Cricetulus griseus: one gene and its partners. The protein of the gene in region 3 interacts with the protein of the main gene of each other region in a pairwise test. Links are inferred from orthologs where the notes say so. Each region holds a gene or a part of one and is shown on either strand. Other genes may lie near its edges.

The links.
Region 1: the proteins of Ndel1 (region 3) and kalirin interact in a two-hybrid assay, tested with the Homo sapiens proteins (2 studies listed by BioGRID and IntAct). The link is inferred for Cricetulus griseus from reciprocal best matches to the Homo sapiens genes NDEL1 and KALRN.
Region 2: the proteins of Ndel1 (region 3) and Cenpf interact in binary tests that used the Homo sapiens proteins (3 or more experiments, as listed by UniProt). The link is inferred for Cricetulus griseus from reciprocal best matches to the Homo sapiens genes NDEL1 and CENPF.
Region 4: the proteins of Ndel1 (region 3) and Mllt10 interact in a two-hybrid assay, tested with the Homo sapiens proteins (2 studies listed by BioGRID and IntAct). The link is inferred for Cricetulus griseus from reciprocal best matches to the Homo sapiens genes NDEL1 and MLLT10.
Region 5: the proteins of Ndel1 (region 3) and Cep170 interact in a two-hybrid assay, tested with the Homo sapiens proteins (2 studies listed by BioGRID and IntAct). The link is inferred for Cricetulus griseus from reciprocal best matches to the Homo sapiens genes NDEL1 and CEP170.
Region 6: the proteins of Ndel1 (region 3) and Mrc2 interact in a two-hybrid assay, tested with the Homo sapiens proteins (2 studies listed by BioGRID and IntAct). The link is inferred for Cricetulus griseus from reciprocal best matches to the Homo sapiens genes NDEL1 and MRC2.
Region 7: the proteins of Ndel1 (region 3) and Ccser1 interact in binary tests that used the Homo sapiens proteins (3 or more experiments, as listed by UniProt). The link is inferred for Cricetulus griseus from reciprocal best matches to the Homo sapiens genes NDEL1 and CCSER1.

Annotation. Positions count from the first base shown.
Region 1 is NC_048597.1:55,085,662-55,089,682, reverse strand, and holds the start of kalirin, read right to left. Parts: upstream 2,801-4,021; coding exon 2,734-2,800; intron 1-2,733. UniProt on the Homo sapiens protein: Promotes the exchange of GDP by GTP. Activates specific Rho GTPase family members, thereby inducing various signaling mechanisms that regulate neuronal shape, growth, and plasticity, through their effects on the actin cytoskeleton.
Region 2 is NC_048598.1:5,316,868-5,320,367, forward strand, and holds part of Cenpf (centromere protein F), read left to right. Parts: intron 1-447; coding exon 448-3,500. UniProt on the Homo sapiens protein: Required for kinetochore function and chromosome segregation in mitosis. Required for kinetochore localization of dynein, LIS1, NDE1 and NDEL1.
Region 3 is NC_048600.1:82,734,308-82,737,807, forward strand, and holds part of Ndel1 (nuclear distribution protein nudE-like 1), read right to left. Parts: intron 1,993-3,500; 5' UTR 1,981-1,992; coding exon 1,895-1,980; intron 420-1,894; coding exon 266-419; intron 1-265. UniProt on the Homo sapiens protein: Required for organization of the cellular microtubule array and microtubule anchoring at the centrosome. May regulate microtubule organization at least in part by targeting the microtubule severing protein KATNA1 to the centrosome.
Region 4 is NC_048596.1:215,139,754-215,143,253, forward strand, and holds part of Mllt10 (protein AF-10), read right to left. Parts: coding exon 3,461-3,500; intron 2,730-3,460; coding exon 2,633-2,729; intron 1-2,632. UniProt on the Homo sapiens protein: Probably involved in transcriptional regulation. In vitro or as fusion protein with KMT2A/MLL1 has transactivation activity. Binds to cruciform DNA.
Region 5 is NC_048598.1:16,976,103-16,980,374, forward strand, and holds the start of Cep170 (centrosomal protein of 170 kDa), read left to right. Parts: upstream 1-1,472; 5' UTR 1,473-1,660; intron 1,661-4,272. Other genes in the region: serologically defined colon cancer antigen 8, read right to left, coding at 507-573.
Region 6 is NC_048600.1:118,268,829-118,272,914, forward strand, and holds the start of Mrc2 (C-type mannose receptor 2), read left to right. Parts: upstream 1-1,286; coding exon 1,287-1,410; intron 1,411-4,086. UniProt on the Homo sapiens protein: May play a role as endocytotic lectin receptor displaying calcium-dependent lectin activity. Internalizes glycosylated ligands from the extracellular space for release in an endosomal compartment via clathrin-mediated endocytosis.
Region 7 is NC_048601.1:81,425,152-81,429,290, reverse strand, and holds the start of Ccser1 (serine-rich coiled-coil domain-containing protein 1), read left to right. Parts: upstream 1-1,339; coding exon 1,340-2,654; intron 2,655-4,139.

The DNA of each region.
Region 1 (4,021 bases), on a different chromosome or scaffold from region 3:
CATCTGAAAGCCCAGACCACAGGCAGTAGAGTTGATAAATACCCAGCAGCACACACAGTAAAAACTGCATTCGTTATTAATGAGAATAAATCACCAAAATGCAATGTCTGAGCGAGCTGACAGTTCGGTATCACATAAATCCTTGTATATACCACACAGTTGAGTTCTCGAAAACAATATATTCGGTTTTTAAGTCTTACTATTAGCTGAACAATGATGGGGGAGGTGAAAAATGTGTCTATAGTAAGAAAGCATACACAGTTATTTTTCTGTAAAGTTTATTTTTGCTTCACAGTGTGTTCTGATGTGTTCTCCCTTTTAAGTGTGTCTAGTCACAGATGTGTTTCTCCTCCAGTCACAGACACACAGACAACTCAGGCCAGAACACAGCCTGTCCATCATTTCAATTTCTGGGGCTAAATTCATCATTCCCTCCTTGCCTTCCTGAAGCCTGAGACTTTCAAGGCAACAAAAGGCATAGCAATAACAAGGGAAAGATAAAATCCTAAAACAGATGAAAGGCGCTAAAATTCCGTCTCCCTAGAGATCTGAGGGAAATTTGTTCACTGCTCTGTGAGGCGGGTTCGTCATTCTCTAATTCATTAATTCATTTCATTCATCCAACTAATATTTGTTGAGCATTTCCCATGAGCTATCTCAATCTGTAAAACATACCATTTCCTATGCAACGCTGGCTAACATCACTATATTTGCTCTACGCAAACTTCTGTTGTAACGTGGATACAAGTATGTCATGTGGACATACTGTTTATAAAACTGTATTGTCCATCAACTAAAACTGAGTGACATGAACAATGTTCAACCCACTCCAGCCTTCAAATCAGATACCCTAAACAGTCTGAATCTTCATGTTAAGAAACTCCTATAGATACTGTGTACGGGAATGACCAGAAGCCTACACATTATGGCCAAATGTGCATGCACAAACATACAATTCTGGAAGCTAGTTTCTGCTGTCTAAGGGATCCATCAATCCACAAATTCATTATTGTGGGATGCTTTACAGGAACTAACACATTTCCTGCAAACTCTATGGTGTAGGTATTATTAATCTTTCCATTTTTGAGCCAAGACTAATGAGCCAAGGATAGACTATTTATTCAAGGACCCTTAGAAAGTAATGAAGCTAGTGCCTGAAACAAGTTTGCAGCTCATTTTATGAAAACTGAAAATAAATTATTATTACATTTTAGCATCTCCTTTCTTCTTTAAATTGGTATGATCTGATAATCTGAACATGGCCTCTGTTCACAAAAATATAAACGTTCTCTTGTTGCAAACCACCTGTTCCTGTCTCTCCCAGGGTGCCTGCAGGAGAGCAGGAACTGGTGTGTTATTGACCAGACCTAACAGTCAAAGGGCATTTTGTTCCTGACAGGCACTGGGATAGGTATTTCATCTGCAGCCTCTCACTTAACCCACAACAGCCCCTTATATCAGCACCACTACAATAGGCTTCTCTTTACGCCGTGGAAGGAAAGGAGGCACAGAGACACTGAGGGGTAATAACTTGCCCGAGATCACACAGAAAAGAGGTGGTTTTCTTACCCTTTCCCAATCTATGATCCCTATCAGTACAAAGTTCTGGCTCCCTTCTCAATCTTCATTTCAAGTCTGGCTTGCTATGGGTGTTTCTCAGTGTTAGCGAAAGCCTGCTTCCCGAGTATGCTGGTTTGGGTTCCTCCATCTTTGATTTCTCCCCCGATAAGGTCTTGGTACATCTGCTCAGGGCAGCTCTGCTTCCAGCATTTGCCTCCTGGTGTACCGGAGACTACGCCTGACTGAGGGTGGGTGATACAATTTGGGGTAGGTAGCAGAGCTTTTCCAAGACGTCTCTTTCATCAAAGATTTTGTCTCACTCTTGCCAAAACTTCTTAAAGGAGCCAAAGCTCTCAAACGCCAACATTCCACATCTTATAAACCAGTTACTACACAAAGTTCACGGTGGCCTTTCTTTACCGTCCGGACTTGTATATTACTACCAGGGGGTTTGCATTAGTGATTGCATTAGTGAGGGTGAAATGAATTAAGGGCAGAGTAACTCGAGAAGTCAAGCTGTCCGTCTTCCTTTTCATAACCTCAAATTTTGCACAGGCTCTGTCTGTAGAGCGTCCACAAAGGGAGCTGTCCCCAGGAAAAGTGCTGTAGCTCCAGGATGCAGCCACTGAAGAACTACTCATTTACTAAGCACCTAGTGTGCACACTGACTATGATGGTATGCTTTACATGCAGGGGTTAAACAATTCCTGCATGATAGGTCCCAGAATGCCCATTTCACACATGGGGAAACAAGCTCAGATGAACACACAAGTCCATGTAAGGTCCCAGAGCTGGGCTGAGATTGGAGTCTGCATAGGTATGCCCCAGCTTCCACTGCGGGGACCAGTCTCCTCTCTGCATCACTTCTCGGATGCTGCTTAAGTTGCCTGACTACAACACTGAGCCTGGTGAAAAACCCAGCAAGAAATGTGATTGTGTTGTACAGCTGCTCCCCAAATGGCTCTGTGCTCCCCATCCCCAGCTAGGTCACACATGTCCCCATAAAAGCAGCCTTTCTTTTATCTGCCGTGTATAGCTACCTGCTGTTGCTCCATGCCTTCTTTCTTTTTCCCCCACTTCCCTTTCTCCACGTCTATGTCCCTCTCTCTCACACATGCTTGTACACATACATAGACACAGACAGACACACGACCAGATACGCACTCAGGATACCTCGATCCAGCAGCCGAAGTAAGCGGAGATACCAAAGATACCACTGGTCCCAGAAGCGGTCCGTCATCCCACCCTGAACTCATCCTTCACAGCCAGTCTCCAGGGCAGCGCCTCATCCCACCACCACCACTGACCGACCGACTCAAGGCCAGATTCGCTGATGTTGGGCTCACACGCAGCCTGTTCTAAGCAAATGCCTGCCTACAAAGACAGCCACCAGTCCTCCCACACAGAGGCTGACTGTGCCGGGAGCCCGTTTCACAGCAACAAAGGAGCAAGTGCAGAACAACGCAGCAGCAGTCGTGTGCAGACTGAGCCTTGCATGGACCCCAGGGGAGATTGAAGTTGCGGGGGAGGGAGTCAGGGAGGGCTCTTGCACAGTAGCAACGTTTGAGGTAGCCTTGGGAATAAAAATCCACAAACAAGGCCACGTTTAAAATTTCCTTCTAGTATCTCCTACCATACTGGCTTCCTGTGCCTCCCACACAGAGGCCAGCAGCTCTTCCAATAGGATGATGAATGGGAAGCCAGATGCTCAACCCTCCTGGACTCTAGAACCAGTCCAAAAAGTCCAGGAGTCTGGCTGCCTCACTATGGGCACCTCAGGTACTACCCATCTAAGACTGCTACCCCCACGACCAGAAAAGGGCTTGCTGGTCCTTTCTTCCTCCTTCCCCTCACAGATTCTATTCAGGAGATAGCAGCACGGGCTCTGAGGTGCTACATTCAAGTTCAAATTCCGGTTCCTACTTAACACTTTCTGGCCTTGAGCAAGCTACTTCAGGCCTTCCACTTCCGCTCCCTCCTCTATGAACTGGAAAGACCAGGATTTGCTTCACAGAGGAACTGTGAGGCTCAGCTCAAAGGATCACTGGCAAGTGAGGCAGACAAAAAGTTCCCTCTAATCTCCCCTGCCCTTAGAACTGTGGTTCCCTGTACCTCTCACCCTGTGACCTTATCCCATTGTTCTGATCCAGCACCTCCTGCCAGAGCCCTTTCTCTCCATGCCCCTTCTCAGGGTCAAAGCCTAAGTTTTCTAATGTCTGACTCAAATGGCACAGAATCCGGGCAGCCTTGCCCGACCGTCCCTCCTTTATATGTCGTTTGCAATCTACTTCCTCTTTTGTGTGTGACCTTTTCCCCTTACTGGACCATCAGTTACATGGTCAGCTCTGCTCCTTAATCACTTTTGGGTCCTCCAAAGTGCCTGGTACAGTGTCTTATCTCAGAAGCATTCCAGGAACTGTTGACTAACTGAATGAGCAAGGGATTCCTGGATGGCAGGAGA
Region 2 (3,500 bases), on a different chromosome or scaffold from region 3:
CTCAATACACTTACTAAGGAGGGATTGGAATGTGGGTGACATTCTTGCTCACAAATAACATACTTTTTTTAAAAAAAGAAGTAATTCTAAATACCCTGTAAACTCTTAATACATCAATTTTTATTAAGCTACCTAAGAGATTATCAAATATATTACTATACTAAAATGGCCATTTTTCTCTCTGTCTTTATATAAACTTAGATCATAAGGTCATGAGATGAGCTATTTTCAAGAACACCAGCATTAGTGTCAAGTTTTACAGGACTGGAGAGTATTAATTTCATTGCTTTTTTAGTTTAGAGTTTAAAATTTTAGAAGCCATAGACTAGACATGCTAGGCATCTTTCCCACTGAATTACACCCTGATGCTAGAATATAATATTCTGATGAAAATAGGTATTTGTTATAAACATTGATAACTTTGTGTTCATTTGTTTGTTTTAATAGCTAAGAATACCTCTCAGGAAATCATGTTGAGAGAGCTCCAGGAAAAACTAAATCAGCAAGAGAACTCACTAATATTAGAGAAACTAAAACTTGCCTTAGCTGATCTGGAAGGGCAGAGAGACTGTTCACAAGACCTGTTGAAAAAAAGGGAGCATCACATTGAACAACTGAATGATAAGTTAAATAAAATAGAGAAGGAGTTTGAAGCTTTGCTGAGTGCTTTGGAGTTAAAAAAGAAAGAGTGTGAAGAGTTGGAAGAAGAGAAAACTCAGTTTTCTTGTTGGAAAAGTGAAAATGAAAAACTTATAAATCAGATAGAATCAGAAAAAGAAAGCTTACAGAGTAAAATCAACCACTTAGAAGCCAGTCTCAGGACGCAACAAATACAAAGTCATGACTACAGTGAAAGAGTAAGAACACTGGAAATGGAAAGAGAAAACCTTAATGTGGAGATTAGAAACCTCCACAGTATGATAGACAGCAAGATGGTAGAGATCGAGACACAGAAACAAGCCTACTTGGAGCTGCAGCAGAAAGCTGAGTTCTCAGATCAGAAGCATCAGAAGGAAATAGAAAATATGTGCTTGAAAGCTAATGAGCTCACTGGGCAAGTCGAAGATTTGGAATATAAGCTTCAGTTACTGTCAAGTGAAGTAGTAACCAAAGAGCAGCAGTACCAAGGCTTGCGTACTGAATATGAAACGCTGAGGGATTTGCTCAAGTCCAGAGGTTCTCTGGTGACAAATGAGGATAATCAGAGAAGTTCTTTGGCTTTTGAACAGCAGCCGACAGTGAGTGACTCCTTTGGAAATCTAATGGGGGAACAAGGAAGCATGTATTCAGAAAGGAGTGACTGCTTTGTAGATGGGGACCAAACTTCAGAAAATCTATCTGTCTTACAAAATAGAGTCACTTCACTTGAAAGTTCCCTGGAGTCTCAAAACCAGATGAACTCGGATCTTCAAAAGCAGTGTGAAGAGTTGCTACAAATCAAAGAAGAAATAGAAGAAAACCTCATTAAAGCAGAACAGATTCATCAGAATTTTGTGGATGAAACAAACCAACGCATTGGTAAATTGCAGGAAGATTCTGCAGTTCATCAAAATATTGTTGCTGAAACTTTAGCAACCCTTGAGAGTAAGGAAAAAGAGTTGCAACTTTTGAAAGAAAAATTAGAAGCTGATCAAACAGAGATTCAAGAATTAAAGAAGAGTAACTGCCTTCTTGAAGAAACTCTGAAGGAGCTACAACTTTCGTCTGAAACTTTGAGCTCAGAGAAGAAAGAAATGAGTGACATCATCTCTTTAAACAAAAAAGACATTGAAGAGTTAACCCAAGAAAATGGGGCTCTCAAAGAAGTTAATGAGGCCTTATGGCAGGAGAAAATGAATTTACTCCAAAAACATGAGGAGATTTCCAGATGTGTTGCAGAACAAGAGAGAAGCATTTCAGAGTTGTCTGATCAGTATAAGCAAGAAAGACATCTGTTGTTACAACGATGTGAAGAAACAGAAACTGTGTTGGAAGATCTCAGGGGTAACTACAAAACAGCACAAGAAAACAATGCTAGGTTAGAATGTTTGCTCAGTGAATGCACTGCTGCTTGTGAGAATAGGAAAAATGAACTGGAGCAGTTAAAGGAAGCATTTGCAAAGGAACAGCAAGAATTTTTAACAAAACTAGCTTTCAGTGAAGAGCAAAACAGGAAATTGATGCTGAAGTTGGAGATAGAGCAACAAACTGTGAAATCTAAGATTACAGACACCAAAATCTATTCTAAGAGTGAGACTGATGGTCTAAGGCAAGAGACTTTAAAGGAAGAGCAAAATAAAAAGGAAAAGGAAGTTAGCAACTTACATGAGAACGAGCAACTAATGCAGTTAACTCAGACTAAACATGAGCATTATCATCTTGAAGTAGAATCAGTTGAGAACTCTGTAAAAGCAACAGAAGATGAGATAAATATGTGTAGTTCCCAGTGTCAGATGGATATTGACACTAAAGACATTTCTCCCGACAGTTACAAAGCACAGTTGGTACAACTAGAAGCTTTGATTAAAGTTATGGAAGTAAAGCTTGATCAAAGTGAGGAGGAGAAAAAAACCCTGCATCAGGAATTACAAACAATTAGAGGGGAGCTAGAAACTGTGAGTTCACAGGACACTCAGTCACATGAAAGGATTGGCCTTAAAGACTGTGAAATAGAAGCAGAAGGAAAGTATGTGTCAGTGCTCCATGAGTTGTCAACAAGTCAAAATGAGAATGCACACTTGCAGTGCTCTCTACAGACAGCATTGAATGAACTAACTGAGCTAGGGAAAGTGTGTGAAGTACTGAAGGTTGAAAAGTTAAAACTACAGTCTGAGCTGAATGACTCTAGATCACAGTGTATTACAGCAACTAGTAAAATGGCAGCAGAGGTTGAGAAGTTAGTGAATGAAGTGAAAATCCTAAACCATGAAGGTGTTCTTCCTCAGAGCAAGCTAATGAAAGATGTGTCAGATGTGTTGCATGATAAACGAAACATGACTCCTTTGGACAGTAGCGGTTTCTGTGAACAAATAACCTTGTCAGACAAAGAAGTTCCAGTGCACTTTGCTGAGTTACAGGAAAAATTTTCCTGTTTACAAAATGAACACAAAATTTTACATGATCAGCACTGTGAGGTGAGCTCCAAGATGTCAGAGCTGTGTTCCTATGTTGACACATTACAAGCTGAAAATTCTGTCTTGTCAGTGAATCTGAGAAACTTGAAGGGTGACTTGGTAAAAGAGAGGAAGCCTGGAGCTGAGAATGGACATACTCTGTCAGTGTCGTTCTGTGGCACAGACAGCCCTAGTCTGACAAATTTTGGAGAAGCTTTGTACAAAGATGTTTTAGAACAAACTGACAACACATCTCTTCTAAGCTTAGAAGGGAATGCTTCAGCAAACCCTTGTAATGTAGATGACGTGTCTTACAGCAGTCTTGAGGAGGAAAATCTGACTGAGAAAGAAATTCCTGCTGCCTCTGTGAGGACTATTGAAGAACTTGAAATCCTATGTCAGGTGTAC
Region 3 (3,500 bases):
TCTCATATTTTAAATATTACTAAATTTCATGTAGTGTATGTATATGCTCTTGCTACATCACATGTGTGAAAATCAGAAAACAATGTGAAGAAAAAGGTTCTCTTCTTCTACCATGTGGGACCCAGGAATCAAACTCAGGTTGTCAGGCTTAGTGACAAGTGCCTTTCCCCACCAAGCCATTTGTCTGGCCCTACATTTCTCATCTAATAAAAGTCAGTACACTAGTCAGTACTGCACCCAGGGAAGTAGGTTCTGCCACAGTTACCTTTAATGCCTCCACTTCATATTTCAGTCTTTGGTTATCAGCTTGCAGGTCTCTATTTCTTTGTTCAGCCTGTACTAACTGTGCCTCCAACTCTGCTTCTAATTCTCTGCTTCCTTCCTGGAATTCAACTAGCTCATCCCGAGCTTCCTGGAAGCTAAGCAGAAGCAAAATGAGAAAGATGAGTTAATAGTTGTGTACTCTCATATAATTACGTATCAATTCCATAATTTCTGACTAAAAATTAATGTTCTCATAAAATATTAAACAGTAAAGAAAATGCATTTCTTGCTCCACATATATTCAGCATTCAATAAAAAGTAGTTATATGCCCTCCCCACAAAAAATCCTACATAACTCAGTAATTCACAAACGTAGTTCTATGTGGCTCAAAACCACCATAAAACTGCAAGAGGAGGGGTGTGTATTTGTACTGAAGTAACTTCAACTGGGAATTAAGTTTGAATTCTAATTGCTAGAAATCAACACATACTCTCAAATCACAATGGCTGGTACAGATCTAAGCATCACTCGCTCATCACTAATTCAGAACCAGGAAGTTTTCTATGCTTCTCCATCTTTTTTACCTAATGTATGCACTAATACATTATTCTAATACTACAAACTAACTTAATATTTAGTTAATTTTTTCAATAACTGGTTTTCTCTATAATGCCATTACTTAATTTTCTGCATTTAAATGTATTCTAAGAAGGGGTTCACAGGCTCCCCTGCCTCTGAAGGAATCTGTAATGTTAGAACAAAGGAAGAACCTCTGTGGATACAGAGCATCTTCATCCCTTGGCCTGATACAACTACAAGGAAAGAACAATGGGATCTGATAAAGCTTAGCTAACTCTGTCAACCAAAGGAGGAAAATGTGCAAGTGTTCTAGTAAGATTTCAAAGGTAGACAGAAGGCTCAGTGGTTGAAAGCACTGGCTGCTCTTTCAGAGGACCAGAGTTCAATTCCCAACATCTACATGGCAGCTCACAACTATCTTTAACTTCAGTCCCAGGAGATTATAACGCCCTCTTCTAGTCTGTATGGTCACCAGACATGCACATGGTGCACAGACATACATGCATACACATACACATAAAATAAAAACAAATCTCAAATAAATATAAGATTTATTAAATAATAGGAATTTAGGATAAGTTTTAAGGCCAAAGAGCTATTTTCTTCCCAACTAAGTAAAATATTATTTTATAAAAGCAATTTTATAAAATGTTCCATAGCTTGGAAGCTCAGCTGCCTCCCAACACTAATAATGCATGCCCGAAAAGATAAAAGTCTGTTTTAAGCATCTCAAATGAGCCAATGATGAGGGAGCACCAGTACTCACACAGAAGGTCAAAAACAGCCCCAGACTAGTGACAAGGCACAGGAGGCAAGCAATCAGAAGAAATCATAGGTGGAACTAAAGCTTCCTGCTATTACAATTTGAAGAACATAAAGACTGGTGGTAGCTTTATACTATTTAAATACAAATATTGTTATGACTATGAAATCAAAATCCTAAAGCTGAAACTCTAAATTTAGCCTTATACTCCCAAAAGAAAAAAATATGCAAGCTATACATGGCATATTCCAAATCCGACCCCTATTTTAATAGTTTTTAAACACTACCTTTGCTTATACTTCAAGGAAAGTTCCTTCCAATAAGCAGTTTCTTCCTTTAAACTTGAAAAGTCTGGTATATCTTCACCATCCATGATCAAGAAAGCCTGTGGCAGTAAAGACAAAGAACCCAAAATATAAGTGAAAGCATGGCACTCATTTGGTAGTTTCAAAGGTTCTAGGAGTTGCTGGAACTTTCCTAAAACTTAAGCACACATCCTACCTCACTCAGGGACAACCAACATTATGGATGAGGTTATAACAGCATATGACATCAACAGGGTCAGAAGGAATGAGGCATTTTCAAATACAGCACTGGGTTCTACGTAATTCAGCAGTTTATGGCCAACTGGTCTTCAGGGAATCCAATGACAGAAACAAACAACTGTCAGAGAATTTGCCACTCCACATGCTTCCCTGATGTGTAACAGCTTTAAAACACCTGCAACAGGTCTGGGGTGTAGATCAGCTGTTTAAGTGTTTGCCTAGGTTTGACCTCTAGCAACACCTGAAATCTCAGCACTGAGAATTGGAGGCAGGTCATTCTCAGCAACACAGAAAGATCAGGGTCAGCCTGGGTTACATGAGACCCTGTCTCAAAAAGAAGTGGGGAGAAAGGGGGAAGGGGGAAAGGGAGACAGAGGGAGAGAAGGAAGGAAGCAAGCTGCTTAGAACCCTCATGCCAAGTGAAACAACTTACTACATCAGGCAAGACCCACATTCTCAAATCATTTTTTTTTTTGGGGGGGGGGGTCAAGACAGGGTTTCTCTGTGGCTTTGGAGGCTGTCCTGGAACTAGCTCTTGTAGACCAGGCTGGTCTCGAACTCACAGAGATCCACCTGCCTCTGCCTCCTTAGTGTCAAATCTTATTTTTGAAAACATCCTCAGTCATCCTTCAATCCAACTTTACTCCAAAGGTCACTCATCTCCAACTGCAATAATCTTTGTCTCAGTTCTTCCCCACAAGGTATTCACAGAGGAAGGGACCTAGTTAGTTGCTCTTGCCATTTCAACTGGCTAAAACTCCCAAATGATCATAGAACAGATTAACACCACCAAGATGTTCCAGATTCCTGCCACATCTTTCCTACAGTCTCCTCTTTACTTCTGCCCCAGCACCACATCCACACAGCAGATACACAGTAATGTCTACCTAAATAGATTTCAATGTGTGCCAGCAAGTAAGGACTGAAGAACAATCTAAAACCAACTAAGAAAGCCTTGGAAATGCAGAGAACTCAGAGTTCATCTTAACAATTCACTTATGTTTACCAAGAACTCAGCCAGAGACCACAGCACATACAGAGCTCCAGATCCAAATGTGTACACAAGTGAGGCATGAGCGTGATGTCTAGTGGGGATAGAACTAAAAATAACATGATATTCTCAGCTTAATTCTTTTGAGGCACAGTGCCAATTTTTCCTTAACCAAGTCTTTGCTGATCATACTATCTATTATTATCTTGACATCTAATTAGTAAATCTTCCAGTTATCTTAAACTCCCAATCACCCTGAAAGCTCTTTCTAAAAGACAGATTCTTGACACACCTTGTATTCCTTCATGGCACTGAGTACAACAGATTTCTCAGAGAAGGCACCTAATGCTCCAATCA
Region 4 (3,500 bases), on a different chromosome or scaffold from region 3:
GTAATAAACTTGGGGCTGATTATCACAGTAGTCACTGGATGTTCCCTCCTGACTCTTCTTGTCTAATTCTCTCCTCAACTCACACACCTCCTTCCAAGCACCGGTCCGATAAGTCTGCCGGACCAGACAGATAGATGCCTCTCAAGGAGGGGCCCTGACAGAAATATTCCAAATGAATATTCTACTCCTAGCAAGTGTTTTCTTGCTGCACTTCTGGATTCTTCTTTTCAGCAAGCATAAATTCCTTTCAAGATAGATTTCCTGGGTGCTGACTAATAGGCACTGTATTAGCTATTTGGGATACATGGTGGTAGTTGCCTGCCTGCCTAGGGAATGAGAAAGAATGATACAGTGTGATTATTGCTAAGAGTAGACAAAGTCCATGAGAATGCAGTAAGTAGTCATTCAACTACTCTGTCAACACAGGACAAAGACTTGGAGGGTACCGCATTAGCAAAGAGGATAAGCAGGAAGGAGGGCATTTCCAGGATCTCAGGGAGAGCTTGTGCACAAAGATTCTGGACCCACAAGAGCCCAATGGCAGGCAGGTAAGCAGGGGAAAGAGCACATGGCTCCCACCTAGACCATGAGAGGGAAGCTGGAAAGTCAAGAGAAAGTTTTGAGCAGAGGAGGCAGCTTCCTTCCTTTCTTTCTTTCGGGAGTGGGACCAGACATGGTCTCATTATGCAGGGTGCCTACCTCTGTCCCTGATGCTCAAATTAAAGCTGTGTGCTACTACACCTAGTAAATGAAGTCACTGTAGTATGTAGTTAAAAAACAAAAAAAGGAAAGAAAGATAGACTACAAGTTTTGACTTAGGCACCTAAAAGGATGGAGTTGGGAAAAGGAGAGCAGTCAAGCATGGTAGCTCAGGCTGGGACATGTTTAAATGCCCTTCATGTCAAGTGCGCTATGTGGTAAGTGGGGGATCCAAAGTGGGATGCTCTGGACAGAATTCTAATCTGAAGATGAAGGCAACTATACATGGACCAAACTGAAACAAACATCTGAGAGTGAAGGACATTGCTGAACTCAACTTTTAGGTAAGAAGGCTGAAGAAAAGAGCTTGAAGCCCAAATGGGAAACAAAAAAGGACTAGCTAGGTAGGACCGTGACGTCATAGCAGGTGGAGAGAAGACCAACTGCCCGTATGTGACTGGTAAGTCACGATGTCACAGGACAATGACTCGACTTACCAGTCTATTACCTCCCATGCAGGGACAAATGGCAGTGGTGATAGAAGGCAAACAAGAGGCTGAGGTTTTGGCTTTTTGAGACAGTCTCATATAGTTAGTATGGCCTTCAACTCCCAAGTGCCAGAATTATAGGTGTGTGCTACCCTATCCCATACACTATCAGAAGAATACTTCATCTTACATTTTTAGGACACAGTTAAAGCTAAGTTGCTGAGATGCCTGAAATCCCAGCACTTGAGGGGACTGAGGCTGGAGGACATGAATTCAAAGCAAACCAGTGATACATATGAATATCCTAGCACGCACACACACACACACACACACACACACACACACACACACACACACACACACACACACACACAGGGCATAGTGTCTGTATTTAGCTTGTATACTCTCCCATATACTTTAAAATCATTACCAGGACACAATGAAAATATATAAATAGTTACAAATACAAAGAAAATAATGAAAATAATAAATAGTTACACAGTGTTGTAATCCAGTACAAATGCACATTTTTTGCTATTTTTGATTTGCAGATAAAGGAATTAACAGATGGGTCGGGAGGATGAACTGAACGTGATAATAGAAATACTATTTCTCAGGAAAACTATTTCCCTTTGGTTCCTCTGTATGTCTGTAAAGGTCAACATCCAACTGTTCAGTGTTCCTCTTTTGCTTTTTGATTATCATTCAAACATACTACAATTCTACAGTTACCTAACCAGAGATGGCACTACATCAGGATACCAACTGTCCTGCTAGTGATTCCCATTTCTACTATTGAGCACATCTTGCTTCCCTCCCAAAACCCTTTCTAAAAACCCTTGATCACTATCATTAATCATTGTTCAAGTTCAACATTCTCCGATGAATCCTTTAAAAGAAAGAAAGAAAACTAGGGCATGAATGAAGCAAGATCAGCACAACTGATTTAACTATTAGAGCTATGTGACAGAATGGTTCAAATGCCATCTCCCAAGAAGACTGGACAAGCCTATCTCAAACTGGAACTGGTGATGGAATGCCATGGTAGAATGCTAGTCAGGCCAACCTATCATGTGAGGCCCTGGGTTCTCCTCCCATTACCACAAAAGAAATAAATTGGCCCTCACCTTACTTTATCCTTGGACCATTTGATGCCCTCATCACATCTCACTTGCGTCCCTTACTACCATCACTTAAAGTGAACTACCAGGAAAATACTGCTCAAATTCCAATCCCCAGAGCTTAGTTAGCACCGCAATACATGTTCTAACATTTGTAAAACAATCAAAGGGCAGGACAACTTTATGGATACATATTCACAATGGAGGAGCCTACACCATAATCAACATTTATTAGTCTACAACAACAGACACACACACACACACACACACACACACACACACACACACACACACACACACACACTTTCAAAACAGAGAACTTACCGGTGTGAGCTGCTGGGAGTTTAACAGCTGCTGGAATTGCTGCTGCTGGATAAACATTTGTCTCTGTTGGTCGGACAGTAATCCAAGTCCCGAGGCACTGAAAAACCATTGCAATCCTTACTTCTACTGCAGCCTTTTCAGGTGATACGAAAGGCAGTCCCTTCAGTAGGTATTTAACGAACTCAGTTTTATCAAAGACACTTCATTATGTACAAATTATTCTTTTTGCCTATACATGTGTATGCAACTAAAAAGGAATGCACTGTCAAGTTAAATAGGCACAAACTTAAGAAACACAATTTATGTGTTTGCAATAAAGCATATGTAATAATCACCTATCCCTTACTTCATCAAAATCTCTGATTAGAGAATATCAAAACTGTGCTCCTAAATCTTGCAGAACCAGTATCACATGACTGTCACAATAATGTCTTTGCAGAGTAAGATACACACATGCTGAAAGAAGGATGAAGAAAAACTAACATTTAAAAACAGATACCACAGATCGGGACTGACATTTTCTACACAGAATGTATTTTAACATTATGTTACTGAAACTGATATTGAACTGAATTTTATCAGTCTAATAAGAAAAAAAAAATACTATGAGTACCAAATACTCACTTACTCAATGAGTTTAATAAGGAAAAAAAAAAAACTATGAGTACCAAATACTCACTTACTCAATGAGTTTGGGCAGCTATTCTTCCTACAGAACGTCTACAAAATTCATTAAAAATCCTAACCCAGAACAAGGACAACACTGACATGAGGCACGGAAAATAAAACAAGAAAAACTAAACTCTACTGAAATTGTAAGTTTCTTACCTGTTAGTCAGTGCAGCGGCCGGCATTGGATGTGCTGCGT
Region 5 (4,272 bases), on a different chromosome or scaffold from region 3:
GATTTCTTGACATGTAAAATGGGAACACTTGTAAGATAAAGTTTTAAATGCTTTGGCTATATGAAAATAACGTAGATAAACAAATATCGTATTATTTCAAATAATTGGTAGTTGTTTTTTTTTTTTTCTGGTCTAAGAAAGATTCAATGTACTAAACCAGAATTTGAATTGTGTAAAAAATATGAATGAGAAATTTATTGGGTTAAACATCTAAGTATAGTAACAGGGTAAAAGAGGCATAGAGATGCCCACAAGTTTGTACTGGCACTAGCTGACAGACACCTAAATCAAGATGTAGGTACCCTGTTGGGTCAGGTTACCAGAAAAAGAGCTAACAGCGTTGCTTAATCCTACAACCAAAATCAAACTATTTCATCCTTAAGATCAGAGCAACATCCGTCTTCTTTCTCCGCGGCCTGGCTGGTGCTCAAGGAAAGTGTTAGGAAAACCACCCACTACTGCCCAGGGTACCTAGGAGCTAGGCACTGAGATTCGGAGCAACTCACCCCGGAGACTCCGTTGGTATTGCCCCAGACTGTCCTCCAGGGTAGAGTTCCCTGGGGATTTCGCCATGGGGTCAGAGATGGGAGTTATGCGGGAAAGTGTCCAGTGCACCCCTCCGAGGACAGGCCTAGCGCTGGGGGTTGGGGGATGCCTGCCTGCTTCCTGTCGCGGCTGTCACTAGGGAGCCAGGAACCCTGGACCGATCTCCTGGGGGCTCTTCCTACTCCCTGGCCCTCATGGTGATCTTCGGGAGTTGTAGTTCGCAGGCTGAAAGCTTGCTACTTCGAGAGTCCTATGAGCCTTCCAGCAACACTACGATTCCCAGAGGGCTATGCGCTCAGGGCGCCACTCAGGCAGTTTAGCGGCCTGAGACGGTTGCCAAGAGACGGACTGGCAGGCCGCGCCCTTTCCCTCTGCCCAGCTTGGATTAGTTCTGCTCTCCTGCCATCCTCCAGCCACCTGGATCGACCCGCTGACAGAAGGGGCCCGGTGAAGGCCCCTCCAAAATGGGTCGTTGTGGAGTTGATCTCTAAGCCCGCTCAGGGATTCACTGTAAACTCTGTATAAGTTAGGATGTCTGTCAAAATCGTTTTTCTCTAGAAAATGAAGCAGAAAATCTTCCAAACAGCCAGATTGTGAAGGCGGCGGACACTACAACTCCTAGAATGCCCAGCGCCCCGCCCTCCGCGTGGAGTTGGCGCGCTGCCCGCTGGGAATCGTAGTCCGGGTTGGTTGCGGTCCTACTCCAGCCAGGCAGCTCTTCATTGTTCCAGCAGCGGGTCTGGAGGGCACGCCTGCGCAGTGGGCGGCCGGGCGAGCGTGTGGCTGAGACCCTCCTCAAAGCCCCCTTTCATTGTCTGGGTCTGGCGCCTGCGCAGTAAGGCATCGCCCGGCCCGGGGAAAAAGGAGGGAGAGGGTCTGGCTGCTTGCCCTTTGCGAGGCGCCTGCGCACTGGGCCGCCGCTCGCTGCCGTTCCCGCTATGTGTGGGGCGTGTGTGGAATAACGTTATTGCCCGGCGGAACCGAGGGGGCCCGAGCTCCGCGGCGGCGACGACGACTACGGCGACGGGGTGGGGGGAGGACAGCGTGGCAGAGACTGACGGGACGCGCCGCGCCGCGCCCCGCCTCCCGGTCCGGTCCCTCTCGGCGGTGAGGGGTAAGTGATGCGCTCGGGTTCGGAGCGGCCCGGGATTCTGCACATCCTCGTCCGCCGCCTCCTCCTCCTCCTCGGCTGCTGCGGCCGGGGTCGGGGCGCGGCCCGCGGGCCCGAGTGCGAGGGGCGCTGCCCGGGACGCTCCGCGCGGCCGCCGCCCTCCCTCCCCTCCCTCCCCCACGGGCTGCAGCCGGACGCCCCGGGCCGGCTTCCCTTCGGCGCGCCCCGCTGCTCTTCTGCTGGCCCCGGGCTTTGTGCGGCGGCCGCCAGAGGCGTCGGCAGTCGCTGCGGGCGGAGCGTCGAGGGAAGGGGCCGCTCGGCCGCTGGGGAAACGAGCTCTCCCGGGGCGCCCGTCCCTTTTATGTAGGGTTGGTTTCGGGGTGTGAGGCTGGTGGCGCGGGGTGCGGGGAGGTCGGACGACGGGACGAGCGAGCCTTCGGGTGGCGTCGCGAGGGCGTGGAAGACGCGCTGTCAGGCAGCCTGCCCCGCGCGACTGCACCCCACGTAGCCTCCGGCCCTGGTAGCAATCCCCGCGGGAGGAGCGAGTGGCTTCCCGTGGGCTTCATTGTCCCAAGATCCAGTTGTGGGGTTTGGATCTGGTTCCCTTCCGTTTTATTCGAGGGGGTAGGGTGGGGTGGGGGGAGAAACAGCAGCTGCGTGACACGGAAGGGAAGACAAGGAAATGTGTCCTAAGTCATATGATCTCTGTTTTCTGGTCTTGAGTAGTTTCACTGTTTTTTTTCTTCGTCTTCTTTTTTTTTTTACCCCCAAATACGAAGAAGACAGGCTATACCTGCTAGAGTCCGAGCCTGCCTAGGTGATCAATATAAAACTACTAGGTGACAATGAAGGCTGGGCTAGGTAGGGCCTAACAGCGAAGCTGTTGTTTAGCAGGGAAATGAACCAGCAGAATTATTTTTTTCCACTGGGTGGGTGATGCGTTCATGTTCCTAAGGGAATACATTAGGATACGCTGAAAGCAAACAAAACAAAACAAAAAAATAGGCCGGGTATATTTCAGTTTCTGAAATTGATTGGTTTCTATTAGGTTAATGAAAATTCACCCGCCGGAGAGGATTTTGTTGATGCAGACAATACATTTGGTTGAAAAGGCATCCTTTAAAATGATTCGAATCTTAAGCGGATGGTATTTGCAGTGCTACGCCAACCTTTCTGCTTAGAACAAGCATCTGATAGGATGAAGCAGGATGAGGCGGGGCAGGTGGAGGGATATGTGAGAGTTACATTATAAATATGTACTTAGCCTTCAGAGACCTAGGAATTCAGCACTGAGAAATAGCTAGTCTTTTTGCCACAGTTTTTATTTTTATTTTTTTAAAAATAAAGTCAGGGATGCTTTTAGTTCTAACTCTTGTAAGTGCTATAAAACTTTGGTGTCCTAAAACAAGACTTAAGTGGGCTTAACAGAAACTAAGACGAAGCTCACACTGGCAAAGTCGGGCCCCCTTGTCTGCCTCCCTGAAGCAATGGAAGGCAGAGCCCAACAAAACCAAGATCTGTACTGTTGTAGTGTGATCTCTCATATGTGTGCCCTAGTCCCCTGCCCTGCACAAATACATAGAACATTTTCTACATGCTCCTTGAGTGGTCTTTTTTCTTTTTAAAACCCTATTCTCAACAGTTGTATTAGTTTACTCCTTGTATTATAAATTATTAATTATACTGAAGTGGCCTTTTGAGTTACAGATTAAAGGAAGATGCCATAACATGTGCTTTTTGTAAAAACAGACTGGCTTCCCTACTTATTAATAACCTGACATCCAATAATATTTTACAGTGTGGTCAACTCTATAACCTGTGTTAAAAATAAAATTTACACACAAGAGCTTAATGATGTTTGTTTTTCTTTAATTTGTGAGTTATATTCTCAACTTGTACTAGAACTTACCTTTTGATAATATATTTTGGGAGGCTTATTTTGCTATAAAACGGGGCTTTTATTGAAATACAATTTTTGTTCTTTCTGCTTAAATTTAATGTTATTTTTAGAATGTATTGGATTTTAGCCAATTTTTTGTTTTGTTGGTTTGGGGAGGCAGGGTTCAAGACAGGGTTTCTCTGTGTAGCCATGGCTATACATGACTGTCCTGGAACTCCCTCTGTGTATTCCAGGCTGGACTAGAACTCAGAGATCCACTTGCCTCTGCCTCTCTGAGTGCTGGTGTCACAGGCATGTGCACCACCACCCAGCTTTGTTACTTGATTTTTTTAGAGACAGGGTTTCTCTGTATAGCTCCGACTGTTTTAGAACTTGCTCTGTATATAGGCTGGCTTCAAACTCAGAGATCCACCTGCCTGTTTCCTGAGTGCTGGGATAAAAGGTATTCGACACCGTGTTGGGCTTAGATTTCAGCCAGTTTTTTAAAAAAATTCATAATTAAATTCCATATGTGAGTTTTAGTCAGTAAAAATTTAAATATATTTTACTAATAAATTTCATGGTATCCTAAGATTATTTTAGCATTAGAATAATGAAGTTAGACATCAGGTGGTTTTTAAAATTCCGTGCTTAGTAATTTGTTTCACTTACTCATTTCTTTTTATTTACGGGGGGGGGGGGGGGGGGTCAAAACTCAGTTTTACCACTGCATCTG
Region 6 (4,086 bases), about 36 Mb from region 3:
GCCATATTGCAGAGATAGGGAAAGATTACCCACAGCAGGAGTAATAAAAAGTCACACTTGTTATTTCCAAAAAAGCCCCGTAGTGGGGAGTTCAGGAAACAATAAAACATATTACAGTTTTACAGTGTTTTGATCACTTGTGATGGGAGAAGCTGAGGCTTCTTCGTGCTGTCTTAACCCTGCCCCAAGCAACTCTTCCAAAACTGTTTGGGAAATCGGGGGTAGGTGTGGGCTGCCTTTCAAAATCCAGACTCTCAGTCCAGTGCTCTGTGCTGCCATCTGACCTGTTGCGTAATACTAAGTAACTGGATTGTCTTCTTGAAATTTCCATTTTGTTCTTTGCTACCGGCCAGCACCCCAGCTGGTGGGAATGATGTCGGTCTTCTAAGACATCCAGTGGACCTTTTTTTGTCCCAGGTCTCTGGATTCGGGACTCCAATTAACTCAAGTGTTGCACACTTTGTGCCAAGGACACCGAAACAGGAGTCACACACATGCTGAAACATGACGATCAAGAATTGTCTGCACTGCTCCCAAACAACAGGAGCCCTCCCCTCCCCCAACCTCTGCGCGGGTGGCGGAGTTCTGGGCTCCTCCTCTTCCCTACCAGACTAGGGGAGGGGGTCCTCTTTGGAAAGAAAATAGCTGGGGTTAGCGGCTAAATACAGGCAGAAGAGGCAGGATGGAGAGGGTGCTGGCGGCCCAGGTCTGGCCACTTGAGTCAGTCGCGCGTCCCGGTCCTCGGCTGGCCAGGCCTCGCAGCAGCCCAGGTCTCGCCACGCGGTGAAGTTCTGCGGAAAGTTTTGCAGTTGCTTTGCTGCCCGCGCCAGCAGGAGAAGCTGTGACGCAGCGTCTGGGGCTCCAGGCCCCGGCTGAAAAGAGAGGGAAGACGAGGCGGGAAAGAATTAAGGAGCAGAGTGGAGGAAGATAAAAGAGCGCACGCTGGGGACGGTCCTTGTGGACCGCGCTGATCCTCCTCTCCTGCCATCCCCTTCTCTCCCTCCTGAAGCGCGGCCCCTGCGGCCGGGTCCCCAGCCCCGCGTCCCCGCAACTCCTCCTTCCCCTCCCACGCTGCCCACTTCCCTTCCCCTCTACCCCTCAAACCCTCCTCCTGGGTTCGGCGCTCCTCCCTCCGCCCTCCCTCCTCGGGGCCTGCCTCCTCCCTCCTCCTCTCCGGGAGGCATCACATCGTCCCGACCCCTCGCCGGCGGTCATCCGAGCCCAGCATCAGTGCGCCACTGCGCGCAGCCCGGCCGTGCGCCCCCGGTCCTCCGAGCGCCGCAGAGATGGGGCCCATCCGACCTGCCCTCGAGCCCTGGCCTCGTCACCTGCTGCGCTGCTTCTTGATTCTCGGGGGACTGCATCTCGGCCACCCGGGGGACGCCGCCGCCGTCCCCGCCGCCCTCCCGGGTAAGGCGCTGCCAACTTGGCCAACTTCGGGGGCGGGCCCGAGGGGAAGTGGGGCCTCTTGATTTTATCCTCTTTTTTTTTTTTTTTTTGACTCCCTTATTTTCTGGAGGTAGGTGTAAGTGTGTGTGTGTGTGTGTGTGTGCGTGCGTGCGAGTGTGCGTGTGTGTGCGTGTGTGTGTGCGCGAGTGTGCGTGTGTGTGCGTGTGTGTGTGCGCGAGTGTGCGGGCGTGTGTGTGTGTGTGTGTGTGTGTGTGTGTGTGTGTGTGTGTGTGTGTGTGTGTGTGTGTGTGTGTGTGTCTGGGTTTTTAAAAATCGCCTCCGCTTTTCTGGGAGCGAGGGAGGAGATGGGAGGAGGAGCGCGCCTGGAGGTGGGGGAGGACCTGAGTGGAACCAGATGTGGCAGGCGGCGGGGGAGGGGATCCTGGGCACTGAGGCCTGGGAGGGAGAGGGAGGGAGATGGAGGGCTGGCGACGACTCGCGTCCGGGCGACCCCCGGCGCCCGCCCCGAGCTGGTCCGGTTTGGTGGGTGGGATGCACCCGGAGAGCCAGAGGCGCGTTGTTTCACACTCCGTACGTGAGGGTCAGGCGCCTGTGCAGCGTCTGGCAGGGTCTTTATATTTTCTTTCTTGGTCTTCAAGGACGGCTTGTGGCATACAACTTCTGTAGTGTTCGAATGGAATCCTGTGGTACAGTTTTATGTCAGAGGGCCGAGTGTGTGTGCATCTCTGTGTGTGCGCCTGTGTGTGTGTGTTCGTGCTCTCACTTTGTGTGAGCAATTCTAACTAAACTGGCACTTCTCCAGAGTGGACAATCTTAAGCTGCAAAAGAGTTTCTAAAGATGCAAAACCACAGCCCACAAAAAACCAATCATACAAGCCCCCCTTCTCTTTTCTGCTGATTCTTCCTCCTCCTCCTCCTCCTCATCCTCCTCCTCCTCCTCTTCTTCTCCTCCTCCTTCTCCTTCTTTTTCTTCTTCTTTTTCCAAGAAGAGACTGAAATGTGAGGTCAGACAGGTCTCTCACCAAGACACCGAATATTGGTGGGGTAGATATTCCTCCCTGAGAGGATTTTCAGAAGTAAAAAATAAAGCGCTGGGTGCTGCCTCCACAAACCCCTTTTATGTTTCACTGGGGGCTGGGGTGAGTGGAAAGGGATGGGACTGCAGCTTTGTGCTGGGGGGCGGGGGGCTGGAGAGTCTGAGGCCTTTCACAGTGGCCTGGTGTGCTGTGGGCATCTACTAAAAGGAAAGGAAGGGTTGGGGTGACCCAAGTCACATAAGGACCTGAAGCTTAGACAGACAGGAAGCAGACTCGGAGGCCTGTCCCTTACTCCTGGTCTTCTCCACCTTAAAGAACAGGGCACTGCTGGATTCGAGGGAGGGAAAGGATGGCCATTCCAAGAGCCCTAGCCTGGGTTTTAAAGCCAGGCCCTGGGAAAGAGCTGGGCCAGACGGCTGACTAGGTCTTTTCCTCCAGAGAGCTTTTGACAGGGGGGTGGAGGTGCCTGATGAGGGGCCCAGTTAGGGAGGAAAAGGAGGCCTACAGTGTCCCCGTGCCTCCTGATCTTTGCTTCTGTCTCTTCCTGCGCTCACTCTCAGGTTGTCTGTCCTACACATGAAATACCCATAGCCTGGGTGGTTGCATTGTCTGGATTACCCATGCCAGGCCTGGGCTAAGGCAGCTGGGGTGAGGAGCCTCCACTGAAGCAACTGAACAGGAGGGCAGCATCACACAACTCCCCTCTCAGTGCACACAAGTGTCAGGTGAATCCTGGAAGTTGGCAGGTGGGGGCAGGAGCACCCAACTTCCATATGGGAGGCTGGTGCAGGCCCTATGGGCTCTTGCCGCTGTGAGCCTGATATGAGAGGCGGCCACTGGCTAGGGAAACCGTGGCCCCAGGAAATGCTTGTGGGAAGTAGGTAGGATTTGCCTGGCAGGCTATTGCTGGGGTGAAAGGCCCCCTGGGGGAGGGGCTGCGGCTTTGTAGCTGCCTGATCACCAGCAGGAAGTCCAGTGGGCTCAGGACTGCAGAGATACTGCAGCTCTCTTGGAGGTCAGAGGTGACAGGGCTGTAGGAGTTCTGGACATAGGATGGCAGAATTCATCTTTACTTCCTCAGGTAAAGCGTGTTGTTACTGCAATACTGGTCCATTCTCCATGTATGCAGCACCAAGCCACATGCTTTACAAGAGTTAAAAGGTGTCCTTAGAGAAAAGGAAGGAAATCTTCCAGAATGACACAGGTTGAACCGTTAGTGTTAGGTGAAGGCTCAGTTGGTGAGGGCCCTCTCTCAGCCTGGAAGCCCTGTTAAGTCCAGTTTCTCCTTTAGCTCTGATGATAACCCAAAGAGCTAGGTATCATTGGACCCATTTTGCAGAGTGCAAAATGGAGTCTTAAGGGGAGTCTGATGATTTATTTTGGGCACATCTAGTAACTGAAAGGCTAGGACCAGGGATGCTTGATGACTACAGACAGAGGAGAGAGTGGTCCAAGGAGGAAAGGCTGTCTGGGGAGAGTGGGGAGGCCAGAAGGGAGAGAGAGCAGGCCACGAAGGAGACGGCTGCTGCTGAATTATGGGGAGGCTTCCTGGGTTCCTGAAGGAAAGGTTGATGGAAACTGGCCAGGTGCCTGGAAGGCTCCACTTGCAGCTGCCTGAAGTGCTGATGCTTTCTTACTA
Region 7 (4,139 bases), on a different chromosome or scaffold from region 3:
GAAGGAAGGCAGGAATGAAGAAAGAAACAACTTAGTGGAAAACGGGTTTACTTTTAGTGCACAAATTCATCATTATTGGGAAGTCAAAGTAGGAACTTGAAGGAGCTACTCTTAGCCATGCTGCCATCAAGAGCAGATGGAGAAAGAATGCTTACGTGTATATATTAAGCTCATCAGGGTTCCAGCCCAGCACTACAAGACAAGGCAATCAGAAATATAATAATTAGTGAGATCTTTTATCAAACCAAAACAGGAGGCAACTGTGCTATCTCATGAAAGTCTGTGTTAAACAGCAATTCCAGAACAGGAAGTCTGAATGTATAAGTTGAAATAAGACTAACAATCTCGGCAGTGGGTGCATGCCAGCAGCTCTTTGCTTTCACTCCAGAGAATGCCGAATATTTTGTATGCAGTAAGGACCATAAGCTAGCCTTGGGGTAGAGAAAGCTTGGTTCTTATTCTCGTTTGCTTCATTAGCTGGTGACATTATTGTTACCTTTCTTCGTGCCATAAAATACCTACTTGCAGAGTTTTAACGAAAAGAGATCATCTCCAAGAAATCCTTTGTGCATCAAAAAGGATTGTAGCAGCCACCTTTCCATTCCCTCCTCTATCTTCTTCACCACTGGCACCCAGGTGCACCAACATAAATATGGCTATAAGGGTCCTGGGTTTCGGAATGACTCGATGGTACTCTCGAGATTACCAACACTCTGAGCTTTGCATCAGGTCTTTCCGTTAGCCCATGGTCTACTTCCTTCATGTGTAACTCTCTATATATCTTTAGTCAGTAGTCTGATTATCCCTAAGCTTCCTGTGTCAGAAACCATCCATAAGAATATGCTCCAATTGGTTTTTCATGAGTGCAGATATTAGTGCCTGGCTTGCCACTGTCTGCTCTGTGTTTCTGTTAAGGTGCCTAGATTACCCATTAAGCCACATGCTATGAAGCATGGCTGTGTCTAAATATAAAAAGTTAATATTTAATAATGTACCAGAATTTAACAGAAGACTGGCCAGGTCTTAAATAATTATTATTATTTTGTGTTTTCCAACCCAGAATTCTTTTTAATAGACTAAGTATTTGTGGTAATCTTGAAATTTTTGATTTATAGTAAGATTTTGATACAAGTTTGTGGATGATTTTTTTTTCTATTTTCTTAAATCCCGATTTTGGCATACTATTATTGTAGTAAAAACAAATTTTCATTCTTTGTCTTGAAAAACTACTCTGTTTACTGGGTCCTGGTCAAGATTGAATTTTATTGACTTGCTTTCTTTGTTTTATCTTTTCCCAGGCTGCTAAATTGGCTATCGCAGTGTAAGCCTCAGGGTTCCAATGGGGGACTCAGGATCAAGACGATGTACCCTGGTCTCCCGGTTGCCAATATTCAGGAAAAGTATTAGCAGAAGACATGACTCTCTCCCGTCTTCACCCTCTTCGAGTAACACAGCTGGTGTCCACAGCTCCTCTCCTTCCAGCACTAACTCCAGCTCAGGGAGCATGGGGAAACGCAGGAGCATATTCCGAGCTCCCTCCATCAGCTTCCACCACAAGAAGGGGAGTGAACCTAAGCCAGAACCCACCGACCAGAACCTTAGTATTTCCAATGGTGCTCAACCCAGTCACAGCAATATGCAGAAACTAAGTTTGGAGGAACAAGTCAAAACCAGGGGAAGACATTCTGTGGGTTTTAGTAGTTCGCGAAGCAAGAAGATAACAAGATCTCTGACGGAAGATTTTGAAAGGGAAAAGGAACCTTCCACCAATAAGAACGTCTTTATAAATTGTCTAAGTTCTGGCAGAAGTGAAGGGGACGATTCTGGATTCACAGAAGAACAAACTCGCCGTTCTCTTAAACAGTCAACAAAGAAGCTTCTCCCCAAATCCTTTTCATCTCATTCCAAATTTTCTAAGTCGGTTCCACAGAGCCAATCCAAGTCATTGGTACAGCAGCCTGAGTTCTCCCTGGCGATCTCACAGTACCAGGAGCGAGAACCGGCCTTAGGAAGACCTTCCCCTTCTTGCTCCGCAGATGGAACAGAGCACGCAGGAAGTTCCTTACAGTCCCCTATGCTTTCCACAGACCTGACCACAGCTCAGACCCCTTCAGAATTCTTGGCCTTGACTGAAGACTCTTTGTCTGAAGCAGATGCCTTTCCTAAAAGTGGAAGCATGGCATCGCACTGCGACAACTTTGGTCACAATGATGCTACCTCTCAGCCCACCCCTGGTCTCACAGCTGTCACAAAGACAGCAATGGAATTTGTGGGGACTGTGCCCTGTATGATGATGTCTCCTGGGAGGTACAGGTTAGATGGCCGGTATGGCAACGAATTGCATTCTTTACCAGAGACCTCTGCTGCAAACCAGGGGGCAGCTTTGATGCAAAGCACTGGGCCCCTTGTTAGGAATGTGAGTGACCCAGAGACCCACCTTCCAGCTGGTCATCAAACAGAAGAGAAACCTGCTTCTGAACCAATGCCAAGGACCAGCTCGCCCAGGACACTGGGCTCCTATGACCAGCACAAGGCGCTGGCTGAACGAATTAAAGGGGTCCACCCTGTTTCGGATTCAAGGGTAATCCCTTCATCGGGGGATCACCATGTTTTTAACAAAACATCCTATGGATATGACGCAAGTGCTGCCAAAGGTATGCAGACTTTCCACGTGCAAAAATGATGTAAATTAATTTTCCTTATTATTTGATCAATTATTTTTACTCCATATCTTGAGTGGGGGCACCTTTGAATTTATAATTACTGTTAAATGTTTGCTTTGATTGATTTTAAACTTGTTGTGATGGAGATGTAAGTCTGTGATACTCATTTTTCTTAGCTGTATTATTTATGTTATTCTGACCTGAGAAGAAAGTGGAAGGAAGGCAACTCTACTTGGAATATGACTGTCATAGTGTTGCTACTTGCTACTTAATGAAATGGAGGCATTTCAGTCAATTTTTTTCATAAAGGAAATTGTGCAATTTCAATTCTGTTTCCTGTGCCCCCACCACCCCCCCCCCCCGAGATAGGGTTTCTCTGAGGCTTTGGAGGCTGTCCTGGAACTAGCTCTTGTAGACCAGGCTGGTTTCAAACTCACAGAGATCCACCTGCCTCTACCTCCTGAGTGCTGGGATTAAAGGTGTGCGACACCAACACTCAGCTCTGTTTCCTGTGTTAACAAAGCTCTATTAACTAGGATCTATATTTTGATATAAATAAATTCTGTCTGTCAAAATAAAAGTATAGTCCTTTGAGTTAGAAAGCCTGCCAAGTTCAAAACCTACCTCAACATAACTATGTAGCTTTAAATTTTAAATGCTTTTACCTTGGTCGTTGCATGAGTGTGTATAAAGAGTGTGTGTGTGTGAATTATTTCACTTTGGTTTCCAGAAAATACTCAAAGGAACTGTTGAGTGTCTCCCCACTCACTTGCCTCTTTCCCATGCTCTATTTTAGTATTTTCTCTGTGTCATTAACATGGCTGCTAGCAATAACTGTCTCAATGTTGAAAATGGTGCTTAGGTATCCAGAGATAATGTGTGGTCTTTGTAAGTGATAAATGAAAATGGTCTCACTTGTTCTTCTAATTGTTAACTCTTTCTTAAGCAAGTGGACTGTGGGCAGGGAAGATGTATACTCTTCCCGTGTCCCAGAGCAGATGATTGATGGGCACAAGCTCTGTTTGGCTTTTTGTGCTTCAGATTTTGCAGACTGGGAAACAAGCCACTGTGTAGCAGTGAGGAGGTTAGCATGGTGTAAAGTTCAGAGTCTTACACTATATTATATGAATGATATAAAATATCAAATAAAGTTAAAAATAAATCAAATGACATATTATCATATCAAAAATCATTAAGACAGCTGTTGAGCTGGTCCCCTTAGAACACAACAGTTTTGTAGTCTAAATACATAAGTTTCTTGTGAGCACATCTGGTATAGGACAGGCTGACCCTAACTCCCCACGAAACCCATGCTGGCCTTGACCTAGCAAATGCCTGAGTGATGGAATGGCCAGTATGATACAAGACAGATTTGCTTATGTGACTGCTGTTAGTCTTCAGAAGGGATGAAGCCAACTGTGACTGTAAGCGCAGAAATTTTCCCGAGGTAGAGAACCTTTGAATCATTCTAAGATT